3 linked regions of the Pelodiscus sinensis genome follow. The protein of the gene in region 1 interacts with the protein of each later gene in a biochemical or structural test. Links are inferred from orthologs where the notes say so. Each region holds a gene or a part of one and is shown in the gene's direction. Other genes may lie near its edges.

What was found. The genes of interacting proteins can lie anywhere in the genome.
Region 2: the proteins of MAPK8 (region 1) and DUSP10 form a complex in vitro, tested with the Homo sapiens proteins (2 studies listed by BioGRID, with this or other methods). The link is inferred for Pelodiscus sinensis from reciprocal best matches to the Homo sapiens genes MAPK8 and DUSP10.
Region 3: the proteins of MAPK8 (region 1) and MAPK8IP3 form a complex in vitro, tested with the Homo sapiens proteins (3 studies listed by BioGRID, with this or other methods). The link is inferred for Pelodiscus sinensis from reciprocal best matches to the Homo sapiens genes MAPK8 and MAPK8IP3.

Annotation. Positions count from the first base shown.
Region 1 is NC_134718.1:5,444,625-5,452,473, forward strand, and holds the start of MAPK8 (mitogen-activated protein kinase 8), read left to right. Parts: upstream 1-4,835; 5' UTR 4,836-4,920; intron 4,921-7,849. UniProt on the Homo sapiens protein: Serine/threonine-protein kinase involved in various processes such as cell proliferation, differentiation, migration, transformation and programmed cell death.
Region 2 is NC_134713.1:154,040,743-154,048,450, reverse strand, and holds the start of DUSP10 (dual specificity protein phosphatase 10), read left to right. Parts: upstream 1-4,700; 5' UTR 4,701-5,273; intron 5,274-7,125; 5' UTR 7,126-7,169; coding exon 7,170-7,708. UniProt on the Homo sapiens protein: Protein phosphatase involved in the inactivation of MAP kinases. Has a specificity for the MAPK11/MAPK12/MAPK13/MAPK14 subfamily. It preferably dephosphorylates p38.
Region 3 is NC_134726.1:612,569-619,977, reverse strand, and holds the start of MAPK8IP3 (C-Jun-amino-terminal kinase-interacting protein 3), read left to right. Parts: upstream 1-4,401; 5' UTR 4,402-4,483; coding exon 4,484-4,801; intron 4,802-7,409.

The DNA of each region.
Region 1 (7,849 bases):
GAAGGCAGAGAGGCACTGGACAAGCGGATGCATATGTTCCATGGCTGTAAGCCAAAGCTCTGGATGAACAGGCTGAAGGCAAGGGCCTCAGGAAATGTACTGTTTCTAAATGCCAGAGCCACAGCTCCTGTGATGGGGAAGTGCCTTACCAGATGACTGGAATGTGCCAAGTGCAGCTCCCAGACTCAGGGTGTAGCTGGCCATGGACATTTGGGGGCCAGCAGTAGGTTCCAGGGCAAAGGAGCAGAGCTTGGGAGGGGCAGAGAGAAACACACTGAACTGGTGGTGCCAGTCCTTGTGGGGCACAGACACAGTGAACTGGGCAGAGAGCCTGGACCCTTGGGGTACGTCTAGACTACATGCCTCTGTCGGCAGAGGCATGTAAAATAGGCTACCCGACATAGTCAGTGAAGTGGGGATTTAAATATCCCCGGCTTCATTAAAATAAAAATGGCCACCATGCAGTGCTGGATCAGCTGATTGTCAGCACAGCAGGGCAGTCAAGACGTGGGGACGGAAGCTGCTTCATTGACTATGTCGGGTAGCCTATTCTACATGCCTCGGCTGACAGAGGCATGTAGTCTGGACATACCCTTGTTGGCTGTGTCTAGACCGGCAAGTTTTTCTGCAAAAGCAGCTGCTTTTGCAGAAAAACTTGCCAGCTGTCTACACTGGCCGCTTGAATTTCCGCAAAAGCACTGACTTCCTACTGTCTGAAATCAGTGCTTCTTGAGGAAATACTATGCTGCTCCCGTTCGGGCAAAAGGGCCAGTGTAGACAGCTCAGATTTGTTTTGCGCAAAACAGCCCCGATTGCGAAAATGGAAAAGCGTCCGTGCCAATCTAGACGCTCTTTTCCGTTAAAAGCATTTGCGGAAAATCATGCCAGTCTAGACGTAGCCGTTGAGTGCTGAAGGAGAGATTGTATACACTGAACTGGAACTAAACCCAGAAGGATGATGGATGTGCACAATATGCTGGTGGCACCTTCGTTCTTAAGGGGGGGCCACATAAAATTGAGCAGGCCCCAGTCCCTATGGCACATAGTGGGGAGATATGAGTGGGCCTAGTTTCTGGGCTGGCACAGTGTTCTGGGGTCTGGCTGTCTGGGAGCACACAGAGCTGGGGACTGGTCTCTGTTCAGGACACACTGAGGTTGGCAGGGGAGGAGTCTGGTAGGAGTGCCTGTTCTGTTCATTCCTTCTGGGGCATCTGACACTGGCTACTGTCAGAAGACAGGATACAGCCACTCTCTGAGTTACGAACAAGTTACGGATCAACACTTGGTCCGTAACTCGAGCTGTTCGTAACTCGGACCCCATTGAGTTACACGTGATCGCGCTGTTCATAAGCGCGGATCGCGTTCGTATCTCGGGGACCACCTTTACGACCGCTCCATGGGAGCTTTGGTCGTAAGTGCGAACGGTCGTAACTCAACCGTTTACAACTCGGGGAGCGGCTGTACTGTGCAAAATGGGCCGCTATAGCTATTTTTACCTTTTCTTTAAGGAACATTCTTTAAGTCCCTTATTTCATTAATTTGTCATACACAAGGGAAGGCCGAATCTCATCTGTACAGAGCAGTATTAAGTCGTGTAAATGTTGATTGAAGCTTGTTTTCAGGGTAGAATTCAGACTGAAGAAACATGGAATTTTAACAAAAACTAATTCCAAAGCTAAAAATAAAAATTCAAAATTGTGCTGAATTGTGCGCCTAAAATAAAAATCATGGATGTTGCTTCATATTTGAGACGCTGCGTTAAAACATATTAATATTCAGATGTTTTTCCACCTCATCCCTTTGGTTTTTGCACTTGTAACACAAGTAAGGAAATGCTAGGAAAAATTTAGAAAACTTCTGGAAAGGTACATTCATGACTAAGTACCAAAAGCCTAACCACATGGCTCTTCTATTATGTTTCATTGAAACAAGTACTGTGTACAGGGGAAAGGATGGGGCTTTGAAACACGGTACCCTAATCATTCTCCTTCCAATTTTTTAAAATGTGTGGAATTTATTACTTTTATTCCTACCTCAATTGCAGCAGTGGAAAGAACATTTTACTTGTTATCCAGGTATAGAAAAACTGCAGAAACCCGCTAAATATTGACACTGTTAAAGCTGAACTTCAAATTAACATTAATTTCAGTTGGACTGTTAAAGAGCTTTATGAATTAACAAACAAACCCCAAAGATGTGCTGAAATGTTTTAAAACAGGCAAGTACTATTTTAAACAAACTTATGACGACTGCACTGTATGTCTGAGGACAGTTGAAATGTACACATGCCATACCTACTTTGCTATAGGGAAAGGTGTTTCCCTAAAACATCCCTTAAAATAAAGGGTTGTCCCTTATCTATCATGTGGTTTTTCCTTATTTCCATCCCACAAGAGATGGTCACCCTATGGGCTGGTCCTTATTGGGGAAGGACTACTTAGCAGTGGGGACTGACAGGCACATGGAGATGGGGGACGGGTCCCTGTTGGGGGCATATGACACTGAGGTCCTGGGGGTATCCCACGAGGGCATGGAAGGAGGGAGGGGGGGAAAGGAGCTGGTGTCATAGGGTTGTACAGTGGGGAGAACTTAGAGAGCAGGGAGTAGAGTCATGGTGGGGCACAAGGAGCCCGGGTCTGTCCTAGTGGACACACAACATCGCAGGGGTATGTCTGAAAAGGTAGAGGGGGACCATGCAGGGAGGGGCACAGAGATGAAGGGTGGCGCAAGGAACCAGTGGAGTCTGTTCTAGCTTTGTTGGGGGCACACGGAGCTGGGGCGGAGGGGCTGTCTCAGGCTGCACAGAGCAGCGCAGGAACAGGGAAGTATAGGTGGACAAATGGAACAGAATAGGTGCCGTCCAGGAGGCAGGCGGGGGGCAAACAGAGTAGGGGGGGACCTGCCCAGGAGCTGTACTGGGTAGGAGGCTCTGTCAGGAGCCAGATGGAGTGGGGGGCTGTCCAGGAGAGCACACGGGGTGGGGGGCTCTCACGGAGAGAACAGGGTGGAGGGCTCCGCAGATGGGGGCACACGGGCGGGGGGCTCTGACAGGGGAGGGGCACACAGGTGTGGAGGCTCAGATACGGGCACACGGGGCGGGGGGGCTGCCCAGGGTGGGAGGCTCTGAAAGGGAGCACAGGGGGCAGTGGGCACATGGGTTGCGGGTCACACGTGGGAGGGCTGCGGGGGGGGGGGGCTGTCAGGGGGCACATGGGGCGGAGGGGCTGCCGGGGGGGGGGCTCTGACAAGGGGCACGCAGGCGGGGGGCTCTGACGAGAGCGCTGCGTGGGGGCACACGGGGCGGGGAGGGTCGGCGGGGGGGGCACACGGGGCGGGGTGCTGCGCGGGGGGGGCTCAGACGAGAGGGCTGTGCGGAGGGGTCCGCGGGGGGGCTGCGCGAGGCACACGGGGGGGGCACACGGGGGCGGTTGCGGGGGGGCACACGGGGCGGGGGGGCGGGCTGCGGGGGGGCACACGGAGGGGTTGCGGGGGGGCGCACGGGGCGGGGGGCTCTGACGGGGGGGCGCACGGGGGGGTTGCGGGGGGGCACACGGGGCGGGGGGCTCTGACGGGGGGGCGCACGGGGGGGTTGCGGGGGGGCGCACGGGGCGGGGGGCTCTGACGGGGGGGCGCACGGGGGGGTTGCGGGGGGGCACACGGGGCGGGGGGCTCTGACGGGGGGGCGCACGGGGGGGTTGCGGGGGGGCACACGGGGCGGGGGGCTCTGACGGGGGGGCGCACGGGGGGGTTGCGGGGGGGCACACGGGGCGGGGGGCTCTGACGGGGGGGCGCACGGGGGGGTTGCGGGGGGCACACGGGGCGGGGGGCTCTGACGGGGGGGCGCACGGGGGGGTTGCGGGGGGCACACGGGGCGGGGGGCTCTGACGGGGGGGCGCACGGGGGGGTTGCGGGGGGCACACGGGGCGGGGGGCTCTGACGGGGGGGCGCACGGGGGGGTTGCGGGGGGGCACACGGGGCGGGGGGCTCTGACGGGGGGGCGCACGGGGGGGTTGCGGGGGGGCACACGGGGCGGGGGGCTCTGACGGGGGGGCGCACGGGGGGGTTGCGGGGGGCACACGGGGCGGGGGGCTCTGACGGGGGGGCGCACGGGGGGGTTGCGGGGGGCACACGGGGCGGGGGGCTCTGACGGGGGGGCGCACGGGGGGGTTGCGGGGGGCACACGGGGCGGGGGGCTCTGACGGGGGGGCGCACGGGGGGGTTGCGGGGGGGCACACGGGGCGGGGGGCTCTGACGGGGGGGCGCACGGGGGGGTTGCGGGGGGCACACGGGGCGGGGGGCTCTGACGGGGGGGCGCACGGGGGGGTTGCGGGGGGCACACGGGGCGGGGGGGCTCTGACGGGGGGCGCACGGGGGGGTTGCGGGGGGCACACGGGGCGGGGGGGCTCTGACGGGGGGGCACGCGGGGGGGTTGCGGGGGGCACACGGGGCGGGGGGCTCTGACGGGGGGGCGCACGGGGGGGTTGCGGGGGGCACACGGGGCGGGGGGCTCTGACGGGGGGGCGCACGGGGGGGTTGCGGGGGGGCACACGGGGCGGGGGGCTCTGACGGGGGGGTTGCGGGGGGGTTGCGGGGGGCACACGGGGCGGGGGGGCTCTGACGGGGGGGCGCACGAGGGGGTTGCGGGGGGCACACGGGGCGGGGGGGCTCTGACGGGGGGCGCACGGGGGGGTTGCGGGGGGCACACGGGGCGGGGGGGCTCTGACGGGGGGGCACGCGGGGGGGGTTGCGGGGGGCACACGGGGCGGGGGGGCTCTGACGGGGGGGGGGCTGGGAGCCGCGCAGGTCCGGGGGGGGGGGGACGCTCGCGCGGCCGGCGGCGCAGGGGGCGGGGCGGGCGGGGCGCTGCGTCTGTGCGCGCGGCCCGGCTCCGGCTCCGGCTCGTTGCTGAGCGGCGGGGCGGTGAGTGCGGGGCCGCGGCCTGTGTCGGCGCCGGGCGGCCCGGCCCGGTTCGGCTCGGCGCTGGGCGGGGGCGGCGGGGCTAGTGGGGGAGGGGCGGCAGTCACAGTTGGCGGTTGTGGGGGGAGGGGCGGGGGTCGGTGGAATGGTCCCGGGGGGGGAGGGGTGGCAGAAGTGGGTCGGTGCAATGGTCCCGTGGGGGGGGGAGCGGGGTCCCGGGCCCGCCCCCCCCCCCCCCCCCCGTGCAGCGCCCTGCCCCTCTTGTGCACGGTAGCAGGTGGCTGCTTTGCCCCCGCGCGTTGCCCTGGTTCCCGTGGGGGGGCCTGGCTGCAGGGGGGGGGCCGGGGGGGGGGGCTGTCTCTTTGTTGGGCTGGCATCACCAGAGAGGGGCTCTGCTCCTCACCAGCCAGGGTTCCCAAGCTGTGGCAGGGTTTCCTCTCCTCTTGCAATATCTCCCCTGCAGGGCCGCTTGGCACAACTTGATTTTCATTGTTTTAAAAATAATTCTGACAAATATCAGTTTTATTTGAAACTGTGTTTTCAGTCTGTCAGTGTTCACAGAGATGGAAAATAAGGGGGGCTGGTCAGACAAGAATAGAATGACAGTCAGCGCTGAGATTAAACAAGTTAAATAGTCATTAAAACACAAATTGTCAACATCATGCCAGAATATACAAAATACACGTCCTTAAGTCAAACTCTAATAAGTTTTTCTGACTTGGCATAGCTGTATGTTTTTATTATTATCAATGAAAATATCTTTTTGGTTTTCATCACCATTTATTGATAAACTAGATTATTTTTCTCCAAATTTACTTGTATTTTATTGTAAGCTTTTCAGGAAAAAGAGGTTTGAGTTGCTGGAGAATGTAGCAGTTTGAAGTGAATGAGATCTGTAACAAAATTCCAAATGACTGCTTTTGAAAAATGCCTTTTTGTTCTTCTGGGATATTTGACCTCCAAAGACAGCTGCTTAGGAAGTCTGGCAATATTTTTGTCTCTTCTGAAAATCTGCATTTTAAGCCTCATAATTTTTGTCAGAAATAACTGAAATGTTTGCAGTTTTTCTGTTGCCCTCCTCTAGTTTCTCTTTTTTATGAGTACTTTAGTGTCAGATTTGACTCTTCAAGCTTCAGATTTTTTTTTCACATTTTTTAATGCCATGGTTTTATCAATGCAAAGTGCAAGAGCCCGTTAAATGGTCTCTGTTAATAAGCTGCAAATGTGAATCCCATGAGCCTTCTTTCTTCTCAATTATAGTACCATAGTTGGGTTTATACTGTTTTGTTGAATTTCAGTGTTATATAGAGGGAGCCTTGCAAAATTATTATAAACATTTTTCCAGCCCTGGTAGCATATCTGCTCACTTTGCCTGACTCTAATGATGTAAACACAAACAATGTTTTACCCACCTATGTAAAGAAATTAGTTGCTCTAGGGTAAGTTCTGCAACTTCTTGTATTGCAACTTAGTTTTATTTAAAGGTTTGGAGATGACTATTGGTAAAGGCCTGTGATGAATTCACTGAAAAACTAGTTTAATTTTCAGAATTGCAGGCAAATTCATTCTTCTTTGGATTAATCAGAGGCGTAAAACATTGTTTTGTAGCATGTTTTATTTTGTTTGCATAAATTGGTGCACTGTCAAATATTGAGTTAATTTAGAATTAAATCAGATTGTTACCTGAAGGGAGATAGGGTCACATTTAGCTAAGAGTACTAATTAAAAGTGAGTTCAGTGACTTTTCAGACCCTTCATATTGTACATTCCGTAATGAAGAATATATAATAACAAAGGCATAGCTGATGAAATTCAAATAGGCCTATGCTTCTGTTTTGACCTCAGTCCATGGAGGCAGCCATCTTAAATTATTTTTCTTGTATATGAATCCAGTGGCACTTTTCAATGTTTCTATCAAGTAAGTTCTAATGTCGTGGTGTCCAACATGCTAGCTGCTAGCCACATGTGGCTATTTGCCCCGTTGAGTGTGGCTAGGACACCACAGTTCTCATGTATAGAGCAATACACTTTCCCTCTATGTGTATGTGTGTGAAACTGTTTTCTTCACAAGCACAGTCCTGTACTAGTAGAGTGAACTTATTGCTACTCTTTGCTAGTGCTGGATTTTAATTGTACACTTCTTAGTTTGATGTCCATTCTCATTTCTTGTACGCTAATCAGTGAGATCTGATTCACATGTGTAGGGAGTGGGTGATTAGGGAACATACCTGTGGTAGTGGATGAAATGTCCAGGCATTGAGTTTGGCTTTTGGAGAAGGTCTCTGAAAAGTATCAGACAAGAATGAGATCTGATGACCATAGATTGTATTTGATACACATTCACATACACAAAAACTCAATAACTGACTCTGTCGCCCAAATGGAGCTTTCTGAGTGTCCTGGTTCTCCCACTAAATGTATTGGAGTTTTTGTTTCTGTCTTTGCAATTGGGTACTGTAGAATGATTGACTCCCATTTCTGAGCAAGTTTTTTTTATTGGTTAAATTTAATTTAACCTTGAAATATCAATTTATATCTGAACTGCGGGGAGTAGAGTGGAGGAATGGACAACGGAGATCTGAAATGTTGGAAATGTGAATCTTTCGGAATAAGATTATAGACTTTAAAAAGACTATAGAAAAAACTGCAGCATTTTATTTGGTAAACGTGACTCCTGTGTGCACTGAAAACCATATTACCTTGTTTCTTATTGACTACAGGTTGCATCTCTCAAATCTGGGATTCTCTCTTCTGTGGTCTCAACATCTGTGGGCTAGAGATGTTAAATTTCAATTAATCAACTAATTGAGTCGTCGATGGAATTTCCATTGACGACTCAATTAGTCAATAAGGGGGATGCTGGCTATCCCACTGCGCCTGTCCCTTTGAAATGTACGAGAGCTGCCTATGGCTCTTGTACATTACATCAGAG
Region 2 (7,708 bases), on another chromosome or scaffold:
AGTTTCTAAAACAGGGAACTCATGCAAGTTTATGATATTCCTTAGCCATTCTGAAGGGCTGTATCTACATTGGTGCAATCTTGCGCAAAAGCAATTGCTTTTGCGCCAAAACTTGCTGCCTGTCTACACTGGCTGCGAGTTCTTGCACAAGAACACTGATGTTCTAATGTATGAAATCAGTGCTTCTTGCACAAGAACTATGATGCTACTGCTCAGGAATAAGCCCTCTCGTGCAAGTGTTCTTGCACAAGAGGCCAGTGTAGACAGGCAACATGAATTTCTTGCACAAGAAAGCCCTATGGTTAAAATGGCCATCAGAGCTTTCTTGTGCAAGAGAGTGTCTACACTGGCATGGGTGCTCTTGTGCAAAAGCACATCTCTTGCACAAAGGAACATGCCAGTGTAGATGCTCTCTTCTGGAAGAGTTTTTGCACAAGAACTCTTCCGCAAAAGAGTTCTTGCGCAAAATCATGCCAGTGTAGACGTAGCCAAGATGTATACCCAGTGAGAACAGATTGGTTATAACAGAAAAACAGGTGGACTGTTTTTATAAACCGGGGGTGGGAGGAGGGATGGGCCAGCTATTGTGAGGGTACCTTAATTCTATTTTGGGGTAACACCCTAAGGGACAACCTTGTACCAAAGTGCCCTCAAGTTTAGAGCTCTGGGAATGGTGTGTTTCTGGGAATCGGGGGAAGGGAGAGGAGGGACAGTGTAGTCTTGGGACCTAGGCAGCTGAATGATAAGGTTCTACTCTCAGAAGGGAGTGATAAATGGAGACTCTGAAGAGAGACCCAAAACAATAGGCAATCCCTTGGCTCTGCTTAGACTCTGCAAGTGAAAAGCACGTTGGTCCAGTGTTGGGATCCAAAATAGCCCAGTGTGTGCCCACCAGGGAAGCTTGACTAAGGCTATCGCAGAACCCACTAACTTGACAGGCATCCAGGAGAGGTGTTTTTCTGTAGAGATAGGCTGAGGAGGTGGTCTGAATCTGGATCTTGGTTAGGTATAGACCAGGTTTGGGATTATGGACAGAATCAAATGGCTTGAGTTCAGTGCTGTCAAACTCTGACAACCTGTCCTCATGAGTTTTTTACTCCAAAACATGGACATTTGATTTTACCAAATAGTCTCGTGAAGTTTCCTTCATCCTGAAAATGGATCTGGAAAAAAGGTCTTTTCCAGCTTTGGAGTCAACCAAAGCTTCTTTAATTTGGATTCAGATTTCAAATCTGCATAATGCCTGTCCCACCTTACACCCAGGAAAATCAAAGGGATTCAGATTTGTCAGTTAAATTCTATGGACACATCTTTGATCAGTGAAGATACTTAAAATGGCATTGTTTTGTTGACTCACCAGATAGCTTGGGTTGCAATGACAGCTGAGGTATTTCTGATTGAGAGATTGTCAGTGGAATAGGAAAAACTAAGAGGATTTCACAAGGGTCGAAATGGGGAAAAATCATTTTAAAATCTTATATAGTTTCTGAATGCCTGCCCACATTAGGGGACCACATTGATTATTGGACCTCTTCAGAACTCAGTGTCTAAATATATTGCCAGAAAGTCTGATTCTTTCATCTGCTTTACCCTGGTAATTTGTCTCTGAAACTTAATTTCTCTCTCTCACTTCCCTTGCACCCACTTTGCTTTCCTTTTCCATAGGATATTTTAATTGGCAAACTTTGGATTCCTTTGACCTCAGTCTGAACATTGCACTGGTTACCTACCAGGAGCCTTAGGGTTGATCCTAATTTGCATACTATGGGGCAGGTTGCAGCTGCCCTCACAGTTAACTTGGAAGTAAAGAAAGTAGAGACTTACAGATATAAGGTGTCAGGCTCTGTGTTACACTAGGACCTTGTGCTTCACTTAGTGATTTATGGCTTCCATTCCCAGATATGATTGTGTTTTCCACTTGATGCTGCTCGCACTAACACATGATTAGTTTTGAGGGAACAGGACTGTTAGGAAACTATCTAAAAAGAGAAATTCCATAAGTTAGTCATCACCACAGGATTTTTTTTTTTACTGAATGTTTATTCTTTTTGGTGCTGGAGCCTCAACGGATGACACTCCTTTCACAGTTGGTACTGACACAATGCCCTGGCACGAAGTTTGGGAGTCCTGGGATGATGACAAGTATCAGAAGGGTAGCTGTGTTAGTCTGAATCTGCAAAAGCGGCAAGGAGTCCTGTGGCACCTTATAGACTAACTGAAGTGTAGGAGCATAAGCTTTCGTGGGCAAAGACCCACTTTGTCAGATGCAAGATGATGAATGAGCTGTCCATTGCATGAGATGCACAACCAATTCCCTGACCATTTGTGGGGCATGACATGGTCCCCTAGCACCTTTGGAATACTCAGTGCAGGGAGCAGTACATGGTAGCATGGTAGCATGGATATTTATCTCACAGGTAACAGCGCTGACCTCACTCACTATATTGTCTCATTTTCCATGTATAAAAGTGTAAGTAGAACTGAGCAGAGGTTTCATTTATTAGTTTTTCACTGGGAAGTGCTGAGTGGGAGAAATCAAAATGTTTCCCTGAACTTTATAATTGAGTGTGAAATTGAGAGAGAGACCTCCATCTTGGCATAACCAATAACCAAGTAGGGCATTCACCTGGGCTGTCAAAAACCTTGTTTCAAGTCACTGCTCTTCTGTATTGAAAGCAGGGACTTGACCCTTGTTCCCTAGATACTGACTGTGTTGGAGTGTTGATTTCTCTTTGTGCTCCCCTTCCCCAATGAAAAATCTTGGATTTGTTCTGCAGTGGGTTGGAAATGAATGCTGAAATCTTCATCTTTGGAAATTATTATTTTCCAGATAAGCTTGTACGGCACATAAATGCTTGACTTTTATAAGTAGTTGATCCAGATTGTCTCTTCTGATTTTATAGTCTGAGTCTGTATATAATCCGGACCATACAGATTATCCCTAGAACATTTTGTATGGATGGAAAAATATATTTCTAACATTTGTAAACAGACTGGTTGTGCAGTTTCTATATATAAAAATGAAATTTTCACAGTTTATAGTCATGCAAATTGTTTGCTGGCTGTATCCAAAGAAGGAAAATTCAGACTTATTCCCACCAATCAGCTCCAATGATGGTAGCAGTCGTGGTGACTGTATTTCAGAGATAACTCAGGCATTTCCACCACCCTGTCAGTGTTACCTAAAACTACTTAGTGAAATGACACCATGATAAAAAGGGTGTGAGTCTTGTCTAAACTATAACTTCCACTGGTGACTGAATTATGGAGTTTAATGTTTCCTAAATAAGATCACTCATAGCAAGTGCAACTGGAGAGATGGGAGCTGACATGCGTTAGTAGTCAACAGAGACAGCTTTTAAAGGCACTTAATTTTTAGGAGTAGGCTTAGCTCCTGGTTAGGTGCTCTTTAAACATTCTCTCATCACTGGCTGACCATGTCCAAGTGAATCAAGGTGTCTAGTGCTGTCTGGGTCTGTTTGTATGCTGTTGCAAACACTTTTTGTGCGAGGCAATGGGGTGTGTTACAAGCATTGCTGATGCTCTGGATGCTAGAATTCTCTGCAATAGGGAAACCTCTAGTGTCCTAGTCAAATTCTAGTCTTGTTAATTACCTTGCAGTTACCTGAATTCCCCTGTATCTTCAATTCGATACAGTATCTAAAACCATTGTGTAGTGTTGCTCAGCCCTGTGAAACATTAACCAGGCTTTGCTCTAGCGCTGGCTGCTTTCCAGTGGTGGGTGAAGTGCTTCCTTATGTATGTGTAATGTTTATAAAATATTTTTGGAACAGATTGACTTAAAATTACCCCAGCTGTGATAATCCCATCGTTTCAGTATCAAACTCCATAACAGGAAAGTGACTGATATAGCCAACGGCTGGAAAGGCAGCCAAAGTGGGGCGCCAGGCTTTTTAAAACCAATTGGCAAAGGCAAGTTTTGAAACGCGATGTTGTGTGACGCAGCTTTGTACACGGACTTATTAAATGGTGTTTGGTAAAGTCCTCTCCCATTCGTTTGTTAAGGTCTCTGCCATCCCAGGCACACTGGCTTACTGCTTGGAACCCCTGCTGGCAGGCTGCTACAGTGGCAGGCAGCACTGTTGTCCCTATGCCCGCTTCAATCTTTATTACCCGTTTAACAACAATAATCGCACAGACCCCGTCTGTCGTGGTTAAGATCCAACCAAGGTCACGGGGCTCCCTGCTGGGGGAGATGCGGGCGAGGGACGGGGCTCGGCGTGGTGTTGATAGACACTCTCCGAGAGCCTGCTGCCGGAGGTATGCGCTGCTATTTGATTGCCTCCTGCCGTACTGGGCAGGGCTCCGGAGTTGCATGGGTGCCGAAGCCAACAGCGTGAGCTGGAGAAGTTTGGCCAATGCCTCTGGCGTGACAGGAGGCCTCCCTCCCTGCCTGGGGGACCCCGGCAGGGCTGCAGCGGGGGACGCTGCGGAGCCTGAGCAGCGAGTGCGGGGATGCAGCACCGGACCTGGAAGCTGGCTCTCCGCGCTCATCACCCGCAGCTCCAGCCCGCGTGGGCTCGGACCCAGCCTTTGCCTTTTCCAGCGTGCCGGGGAGCCCCAGCGGGGCAGCTGGAGCTGATGCTGGATCGGGCTCCCTTTCCCCCTCCCCCGTCTTTTGGCTAAGGGCAGCTTACGTGAGAAGGGGGATGAACAGGAACAAATCCACCTGCCGGCGCGGCGGGCTGGGTGGAAGAAGCTGCCGCGAGAGTAGGGGAGAGAAGCAGGACTGGAGACAGGGAAGCGAGTGAGGCGGGACGGCTGGGGGGCGAGCGAGCCCCATTGACAGTCCAGCCTAGGAAAGGGTTAAGGACACGCCGCTGGCTCAGTGGACATGTAAATACAGAACAGCTGCTCCTCTCCGGCTCCGGCCGGCTCCTCCAACCGTCTGATTGGCTGCCAATGACATCACCCCTGCCCCTCCTGTGTTATACCAACAGCGGACCTGAAGCTACGTCGGATAAACCATCCCCAAGCGGCGGGGAGCTCAGGTCCCCGCCTCCTTCCACTCTCCCACCTCCAGCCATTGGCCCCCCGGCGCTGGAAGCACGCCCACTTCCTGGAAAGAGCCCCTATTGGGCGCGGACACCGTCTGTCCCGCCCCTTTCGAACCTTACATTTACAGTGTAGCAAAAGAGAAAGTAACTCTGTTGCCGCTGGAGATCAATGAAGCCGCGTGAATGGGGGCTTAGCGTAGAACTCTGTAGCCACAGATGAGCGCCAGATGCTGAAGGGATCTACTTATTTATGAAGTAAGTGAAAGGCTATGCTTATAGTGATAGGGGAGGGCAGCGGGTCTATAGCTGCATCGAAGTAGCACCTATAAGATACCTAGTAACGGAGAAGGACATACTTTCATCTGTACGCAATGCTACTTTTGGAGGGGTCGGTGTAGGAAGCTTGGCCAACAGTGTTGTGCTTCTACTGCCTCTGATTGCAACCTCTGTTATTTCTAGTGAGTGTTGGTGGGATGGGAGAAAAGGCTTTTCTCGTCTTGGGATTGCTGCAGTGTGTCGGGAGGGGGAAAAGGTGAGGGACTAGAGTGCTCGGAGGGCTTTCCTTGCATCTTCTTCCTTGGCTTTATCGCTCCACCCCAGACACACACTTCATTTTCGTATGGTCCTGGGTGAAGAGAAAGTGGCGGCGAACGGTCCTATACAGGGCAGTGCTAGTTCTATTCTGACTTCATGGTTTTGCTGGAAATATACAACCCTCTGCTGCATAGATGCAGACCTTCCAAAACTGCATATTTTCTTGTCTCTAGAAGGAAAACAATCATCTGTACTTGGGATCAAATCCTATGACGTGTTTTTGTAACATTACTGGTTTATATGTTTATTTGCCTTTTATTTTTAATTGTGTTGCTGTTTTTTCTTTACAAGCAGAAGGATATTGCTTTTCAGTTTTCTGTTGGGTGCTGGTTTTCTAAAGGGGGGGAGAAGGGATAGGCTAGGCAATCTACTGGGTCATTTTGCAAAGGTTGATCTGTCTCTACCCTACAATATAATTTTCTGCTATGTGAGTCCATGCTGATTTTCATCTGTGGATGGTAAACATTTTTTCCTTGTTCAGCTATTTTCAAATTCACCTAGTAAAGAGATTTTTAAAGAAAATAAGAGTGGAGGGCCTGCCTTGGGATAGCTCCTTAGTGTAAAAAAGGATACTATAATAGGGATTGTAGACTGGGATGATATAATTGGACGGAGAAAAACTGATTTTAGGAGTGTTTGGTCGCTTCTAGTTAGAGTTATTTAATCTGTTAGCTGGTTGATGGAATGTATTTTGAAGAGGAGCTTCCAATGCTCTGAAGGTGGGTTTTGTTTTGGTGTGGTTTTTTTTGTTTGTTTTTTTTTTGGCAGGGAGAAATGCTTCTAATTTTATATAGTGTCTCTTGGTAAAGCTTGTGAAGATCACAATTTAGGGGCTGCAGAAGGGGCCTTTATTCCTGGAGTCTCCAAAACTGTTCTGAGGAGCAGAGGGTGCTTCTGCCTCTAGGATTGCTCAAGCTTCCAGGCTTTATTTTTATTTTTATTAGAATTGTACTAGCATCTGGAAAAGGGAGATGCAGTTGGGATGCAGGTTTGTGTCTTTCACAACAATCTCTGGCATCTTCTACCTCCTTGTTACGTCTGTGTGAAATTAAGTTTTCAAATGGATTTCTCAAGGGTTTATTCTAAAGCTAGTTTTATTCAGGCTTGCTAGAAAAGTTGTACATCTTCCTGTGACATATTTGGCTGCTATGCATTCTATAAGTTGTTGAGCCATGCCAATAGTTCTGTCCCTTGCTGTAAGCAGAGGAAACGAAAGAACATGCCTTCTTATTGCCCTTATCAGTTGCATGCTTTGCAGCCCAAAGATTTCAGAATAACTCCGCATCTGCATGTAAATGAATGTCTCCTCTTAACTGTGTCTAGGCCAATTGCATATTCTGCATTCTCTTTGAGTACAGGATAAGAGTTGAAGCTTTTGCTGCAGGACCTGGTGCCTTCATAAATTGCACTGAGCTGATCCCCCTGAAAATCACTGATGAGTATTGAAAACTGCTTTTAGAAATCTCTGGCTCTGTATGTTTAATGTGATCCTTTTTTCTTTTTCCCTTTGCAGACAGATCTTGAGTTCTTCTTGACTTGCCAATTCTCAGCCTCCTCATGCCTCCATCTCCTTTAGACGACAGGGTAGTAGTGGCACTTTCAAGGCCAGTAAGACCTCAGGATCTCAACCTTTGTTTAGACTCTAGCTACCTTGAATCTGCTTCTTCTGCCAGTGAGAGTTGCACAAGTCTCCTTGGTACAGCTGTTGTGTCCTTAAAGGCTGCTAATCTCCCGTATATGCCCTCATCCAACGGCTCTGCACGCTCCTTGAGTTGTGGCTGCAGCAGCACCAGTTGCTGCACTGTGGCAACTTACGACAAGGACAATCAGGCCCAAACTCAAGCAAGCACCAGTAGCACCACCAACGTAGGAACCTCTACCACTTGCCCTGCTAACCAAATGGTCAACAACAATGAGAACACGGGCACACTGAATCCATCAGGTGGAGTGGGAAGTCCGGCCTCAGGAACAACCAAGCAACTAGCCAGCATAAAAATAATCTACCCTAATGACCTGGCTAAAAAGATGACCAAATGCAACAAGAGCCACCAACAGAGCCAAGGGCCTGTCATCATTGACTGCAGGCCGTTCATGGA
Region 3 (7,409 bases), on another chromosome or scaffold:
TTTATCCTGTACAGACTAACTCGGCCATCCCCTGAAGCTTTTAATAGGGATGTTAGATAACATTTGTTTTACTAATCATGTAGCTGTAAAAAGTTTTATTGGTTACATGGTTATAAAATACTCTCCGAGTGCGGGGCCGGCAGCCAGTGAACTCCTGGCCCCACTGATGGGAAGCCCCCTGCAACCCTGCACTGCTGCCTCTGTATCAGAGGCAGCAGCATGGGGTGGTAGGTGGAGCCAGTCCATGAGGGGAGCCATGAGTGGGGTTCCAAGGAGGATGGAGCTAAGCTATTCTCAGTGGTGGCAGAGAACAGAACAAGAAGCAGTGTGCTCAAGTTGTGGGGGGGATAGGGGAGAACTAGGTTGGTGTTACGTGGCGGGTTCCCCCTCAGGCTTACAGCCCTATCATCATCAGGGGCACCTGTGGTTGGCCACCCTTACAACCCTTGCTAAACCCCGTGCTTCCCCCCTTTCCAAACTCCTCCTGTTAACAGTTCGCTAGTAGTCTAACAGAGTCCCCCGCGTCTGGCGGGACTCACCTGGCCCGGCGTTAGCGGAGATGGAGGGGGTCCCGGGCCTGCCCCCGCTCCGGGTCCCGACCCAGGACCCTAAAGGCAGCGAATAGGCTTTGCTGTCTGGTTGGTGGGGAGCTTCCCCGTAACTCACCAACCCCTGTGGTTTCTAATGATGTCCCATCGTCTCCAGACCCGGTCTTGGGCCACGTCCTCCTCTCCGCTGAGGCACCTGGTCCAGCACCAGTCAGTGTCTAGTCCATCTGGTTTTGGAGTTTGTGGCGACCCTCCGCGCGGCGCCTTCCTCCTCCCCTTGCTGCGTTCAACTCTCCTCCTCCCCTTCTGTGGGGTCTGGCCGCTGTTTGAATTACCGTTGAGTGCAGCTGCATCCGGTGGCCCCGCCCCCCGGTGTTCCTCACTGACGTCACCTGACCCCCGCCCCCACTGGGTTCATGGCGTCACCGGTGCATGCCGTGCAAGACTGCTGGGGTCCGGCATTCTCAGTGGTACACTTGCCGCCGAGTGCTTCCCTCAGCCGGCGAGCAGCGCAAGACGCCAGGCGTTCCGCCGCCTCAGAGTCCTGCGTCTCGTCCCTGGCGCTCCTGGCGGCACGTTCGCTGACAAGCACTTCCCCCAGCTGCCGTGTAGTGCGGGGTGCTGGGGGCTCCATCACAGTTGGATATTAGGAACAATTATTTCACTGGGAGGGTGGTGAAACACTGGATTGGATTACGTAGGGAGGTGGTAAAATCTCCATTCTTAGAGGTTTTTAAGGCGAGGCTTATCATAGCCCTGGCTGGGATGATTTAGGTAGGGTTAAGTGTTTCCTGTAAAATGAGCACTTGGGCATCTACTTGGGAGAGAGTTGCATGCCACCTAGCTGATTAGCAGAGCACCGATTGCTGACAGCATGTGTATCTATTGGTGGTGCACATCTGCACATGCCTTGATGCATATAACATAATTTACTCCACTCATGGATGGAAAAATTAGAGGGAACATTGGTGGGGTTGTTCCTACTTTGGGGGGTTAGACTAAATCACTTCTTGAGGTTTCTTCCAGCCCTAATCTTCTATGATTCTATTTTTAAAGCAGGATGGTTAGTATAGCTCTGCCAGTTCTTCCTTTTTTTTACACTACAATTTATCTTTCCCTGAAAGGGGTTGTACAAGGAAAACTATGATGTACTCAGTCAGTTGTAGGGGCTAGAGAGAGAATGGTTACAAGAAGTAGGGCTGGGTGTTCCAGATGGAATGTGGTAATTCCATTGCGATGGTGTTAGGAAAGGGTTAACATTTCTTCAGAGAATATTACACACTCTGCTCTCTATATAAGGTGGGGTTTTCAAATGTTCTGAAATCCAGCAACAGCTTAGTAAACTAAGGATCTGAGGGCCTGATCCAGCATTCATTGGATTGAATGGAAAGACTCCATTGGCTTCAGTGAGCTTTGAATAATACTATTCTTCAGCACCTATAAATCAAGAGGTATTCTAATAGTCTGGGCAAAGCTGAGACTTCATTTCTCCCTCTTGTTGAGCTAAGATCAGTGCAAGAATGGGGATTAAGTGGGATGGTGGTTTTATGTTGTCGCATGCCCCAATATTCTGGGTCTAGCTGGGGGCATATTTGGTTGACTGGTCTAATTCATGTTCTGTTGAAAAGGTCTGGGCTGTTCTGCAGCTGAGAATAGCTGGAGCTCAGCAATGCTTCAGCCACACACACCCTAGCTTGACCCCAGCACTGGACGCTGTAAGGTGGGGATAGGGCAGGCAGTGGATAGCCAGTTTGGCAACTTTACATTACTCAAGGGAACACATCAATGTTATTTCATCAATGATATGTTTCCTATAAAAAAATAGTTCTGCAGCACCTTAGAGAGTAACAAAAAATGTAGATGGTATCATGAGCTTTCATGGGCACAACCCACTTCTTAAAAAAAAAGGAAAAAATATTGTCAATTAGTGTCCGTGCTAAATGGGGCTAATAGAATGGACTCATGCTTATCTTTTTATGTCATTAGGGTGCGGAATGTAGCTGCCCATCCAGATCAGGTCTTTGTTCAGACCTTGATTGCAGGTGTCAAACTTGTAAACAAAACCAAGTTCTGCAGCTTCTTTCTCCAGCTGGTTTTTGAAATTGCTTTATACAAGAGGCCCCAGCCCGACTTCTGACCCCTGAACTTACAACCATTTTTGTAAGTGCGGAAGGGGCCGGAACCCCCCAACTTATGTCCCTGGCCCGCATTTATGAAGGCGCACAATGCCTATTGTAAATGCAAGTTCGAGTTATGATGCCCCCGACTTGCAACACTTCCCTCGGAATCAGTCGTGTTGCAAGTTGGGGGCCTCTTGTAGTACTTTTAGATCCATTAGTGCACAGTTTCTCAATTTTATTTTGGCCCTGGAACTCTTTTAGACTTGAAAGAATTTTGTGGAACCCCCAATAACAGTCTTATATATGGAACTGAAAAAGTAGACCACAAATAAGTAAGAATAATAAACAAATGCTAAACTAGGTAATGAGATCGACATTTAGTTTAATTGCACATATTTTAAAACAAAAATCACAACTGGTTTGACAGCTGAAGCTTTGACTTTGTCCGATATGGCGCTAATATATTCGTATTCAGTCACCCACATGATCCACGGTTCCTGAGAGTGAGTATGGGGATTTATGGTGGTATATAACAGGTGACTGCACCATTGATTGACTGCATGTGCAACGCTGAGTAGTGACATCATCGTCCCCACTCTCTGGCTAAGCTGGCATTACACAGGGACACTTATCGTGGGAAACAAATGAAAATTGTTTTCAATAAAATTCATAAATGCTTAAATATTATTTTTTTAAAAATCATAAAATGTTATTGTAATGGAATTTTCTTGCAGAACCCTTATTTTCACTTTGCGAAACCCTGGGGTTCCACAGAACACCATTTGGGTAACACTGCATTAATGAGTGCCTGGGCAAGTTACAATATGCCCCAACAGGTTTCTGTGTTACCATTTCAAATATCTGATTTGTGCCCATTAGCCCTTTGTTGTAGAGACTGTCTAGTTTTGCCAGTATACACACGGCAGAGGGGCATTGCTGGTGCTTGATGGCACAGATCACATTGGTGGATGTGTAGTTGTATGAGCCTCTGATGTGGTGGCTTATGTGGTTAGGTCCTGTGATTATATTGCTTGTATAGATGTGTGGACAGATAAAATAGCAATAAATCCCTATAAATTGCAATAGCAAGTGCAGGGGACTGGACTTGGGGACGTCTCAAGATTCCATCCAGTTTTATTATTCAATGATTCTCTAAAGAGGATGAGGAGGAACACAGAGTGGAGTGTTAGGACTCAGGAACGCCTTTGTTCTAATCTTGGTTCTGACACCCCCTCTATAACCTTGTTGGAGTCACTTTATCTTCCTGTCAGTTTTTCTATCTGTAAACTGGAGCTAGTGATCGTCACAGGAAGGTTTTGAGGACTAAGTATATTTGTAAAATGCTTTCAATGTGCTATTGTCCGTTTCCGGGACCATCCATCACTTAAGCTGCGATGAAGTTGATACCGTCTCCTCATCCCACCCTGCTCTCCGATACGTCTCTGCGTAGAGCCTGGTCCTGGGGCTGGCAGCTCGTTAGCCCCGCGCTGTGTATTGCGGACGCCGATATGAAGGCGCGGCCCGCCGCCAGCGTGTGGGGGTGGGGCGGGCAGAGGCCTCACGGTTGCTAGAGCAGCGACCCCGCAAACGAAGAGCCGGGCGGGTCTAATTAAAGAAGGGGCGCTCCGCTCGCGAGCCCGGGCGGTGCCTCCCAGCGCCCCTCCCCCCGCCGTGCGGGCGGGCGCGCGCTGACACTGCGCGGGAGGCGGCGCCGCCGGCCGGGCCTGCCCATTGGCGCAGCAGGGGAGGGGCCGGGCGGAGCCGGCGGCCGCCTCAGCAGCTCGGCGGCGGCGCTCGGTCCGGTCCGGCGGCAGGATGCTGGAGATCCAGCTGGACGATGGCGGCGTGGGCGGCTACCCGGGGGACGATTACTGCTCGGGCTCCGTCATGTCGGAGCGCGTCTCGGGCCTGGCCAACAGCATCTACCGCGAGTTCGAGCGGCTCATCCGCTGCTACGACGAGGAGGTGGTGAAGGAGCTGATGCCGCTGGTGGTGACGGTGCTGGAGAACCTGGACTCGGTGCTGACCGACAACCAGGAGCACGAGGTGGAGCTGGAGCTGCTGCGCGAGGACAACGAGCAGCTGCTCACGCAGTACGAGCGCGAGAAGGCGCTGCGCAAGCAGGCCGAGGAGGTGAGCCGCGCCGGCTCCCGGCAGCCTCCGCGCCGAGCGCAGGCCGCGGGCCCCTGTCGGCCAACGGCAGCTGTGCGGGGCGGGGCTGTCGGGCCGGCCGTTGGCGGTCGGTGCGCACGGGGCGGGGGCGCGGGGTTGGTGAGGGCTCCAGTGGGCGGGGCGCGACCTGTCCTCTGGCCGCTCTCAGAGTTCCCTTCCTTCCCGTCTCCCGTGGGGATCCCGCCCCCTTAGCGTGCCGGGGGGGGGCAGGCCGGGGGGGGACTGAAGATGCACTAGTGATTCAGAGAAGCGTGCCGGGGGGGGGGCAGACTGGGGGGGACTGAAGATGCACTAGTGATTCAGAGAAGCGTGCCGGGGGGGGGCAGACTGGGGGGGGGACTGAAGATGCACTAGTGATTCAGAGAAGCGTGCCGGGGGGGGGGCAGGCCGGGGGGGGGACTGAAGATGCACTAGTGATTCAGAGAAGCGTGCCGGGGGGGGGGGCAGGCCGGGGGGGGGACTGAAGATGCACTAGTGATTCAGAGAAGCGTGCCGGGGGGGGGGCAGGCCGGGGGGGGGACTGAAGATGCACTAGTGATTCAGAGAAGCGTGCCGGGGGGGGCAGGCCGGGGGGGGACTGAAGATGCACTAGTGATTCAGAGAAGCGTGCCGGGGGGGGCAGACTGGGGGGGACTGAAGATGCACTAGTGATTCAGAGAAGCGTGCCGGGGGGGGGCAGGCTGGGGGGGACTGAAGATGCACTAGTGATTCAGAGAAGCGTGCCGGGGGGGGGCAGACTGGGGGGGACTGAAGATGCACTAGTGATTCAGAGAAGCGTGCCGGGGGGGGCAGACTGGGGGGGACTGAAGATGCACTAGTGATTCAGAGAAGCGTGCCGGGGGGGGGGGCAGACTGGGGGGGACTGAAGATGCATTAGTGATTCAGAGAAGCGTGCGGGGGGGGCAGACTGGGGGGGACTGAAGATGCACTAGTGATTCAGAGAAGCGTGCCGGGGGGGCAGACTGGGGGGGACTGAAGATGCACTAGTGATTCAGAGAAGCGTGCCGGGGGGGGGCAGACTGGGGGGGACTGAAGATGCACTAGTGATTCAGAGAAGCGTGCCGGGGGGGGGCAGACTGGGGGGGACTGAAGATGCACTAGTGATTCAGAGAAGCGTGCCGGGGGGGGGCAGACTGGGGGGGACTGAAGATGCACTAGTGATTCAGAGAAGCGTGCCGGGGGGGGCAGACTGGGGGGGACTGAAGATGCATTAGTGATTCAGAGAAGCGTGCGGGGGGGGCAGACTGGGGGGGACTGAAGATGCACTAGTGATTCAGAGAAGTGAAATGCCTCTCTGCGAGAGCTGTAAGGTGATGGCTGTGTCTACATTGCACGCTCTTTGCACGAGAACAATCGTTCTTGCGCAAAAACTTGCTAGCTGGCTACACTGCACGCGCGCTGTTGCGCAAGTAAATTTACAGTCCAGGCAGTCCCCGGGTTACGTACAAGATAGGGACTGTAGGTTTGTTCTTAAGTTGAATCTGTATGTAAGTTGGAACTGGCGTCCAGATTCAGCCACTGCTGTAACTGACCAGCAGCGGCTGAATCAGACACGCCTGGGGCAGAGCAGCTGGGGCGCTGCCGGGTTGGTCCCGCAGTGCCGCTCCACGGCGCTACTGGACCAACCCGGCAGCACCCCAGCTGCTCTGTCCCAGGTGTCCCCAAGTCAGCCGCTGCTGAAACTGACCAGCGGCTGACTACAGGAAGCTCGAGGCAGAGCTGCTCTGCCCTGGGCTTCCTGTAGTCAGCCGCTGATCAGTTTCAGCAGCGGCTGACTTGGGGACGCCTGGGGCAGAGCAGCTAGAGTGCTGCTGGGTTGGTCCAGTAGTGCCGCACCTCGGCGCTGTGGGACCAACCCAGCAGCCCCCCGCATCCTCCACGGCTTTGCTCTGCGTCTCCCTGGTCTGCTGGGGGCGGGGGGGGGGGGCAGCTTTTCTCGCCGTGGAGGACGCGGGCGGTGGGACTGCTGAGTCGCGTCTCGGCGGTCTGCTGGGGGAAGGGTCCCGTTTGTTAGTAGGGATCCGACATAAGTCGGATCCACGTAACCCGGGGATTGCCTGTATAGCGTCAGAAAACAGGGTTTCTTCCGGAAGTGTTATTCCTCTCCCTACGAAGAATAAGCCCTCTTGCGCAAGAGCTCTTTCACAAGAGGGCAGTGTAGACAGGTAACATGAATTTCTTGCGCAAGAAGCCCCTATGGTTAAAATGGCCATCAGAGCTTTCTTGCGCAAGAGAATGTCCACACTGCCATGGATGCTCTTGCGCAAAAGCACATGGCAGTGTGGATGCACTCTTGTGGAAGACCTTTTGCACAAGAACTCTTCTGCAAAACAGTTCTTGCACAAGAAGCCTGCAGTGTAGACATAGCCCATGTGTTTCAAGTATTGTGTCTTAGCTCTCATTAGATCTATTGATTGGTTCCAGAGCCATACATGTTCTTAACAGCTGTGACCTTATACTCCCTAAAAAGTGTCCTGGAGATTTCCTACCTTGTAGTGAGAGAAGATCACTCAGAAAGTGGGCTTTTTACTTGTCCCCAAATATAGGATTTGTTTGTGTGTATATATAG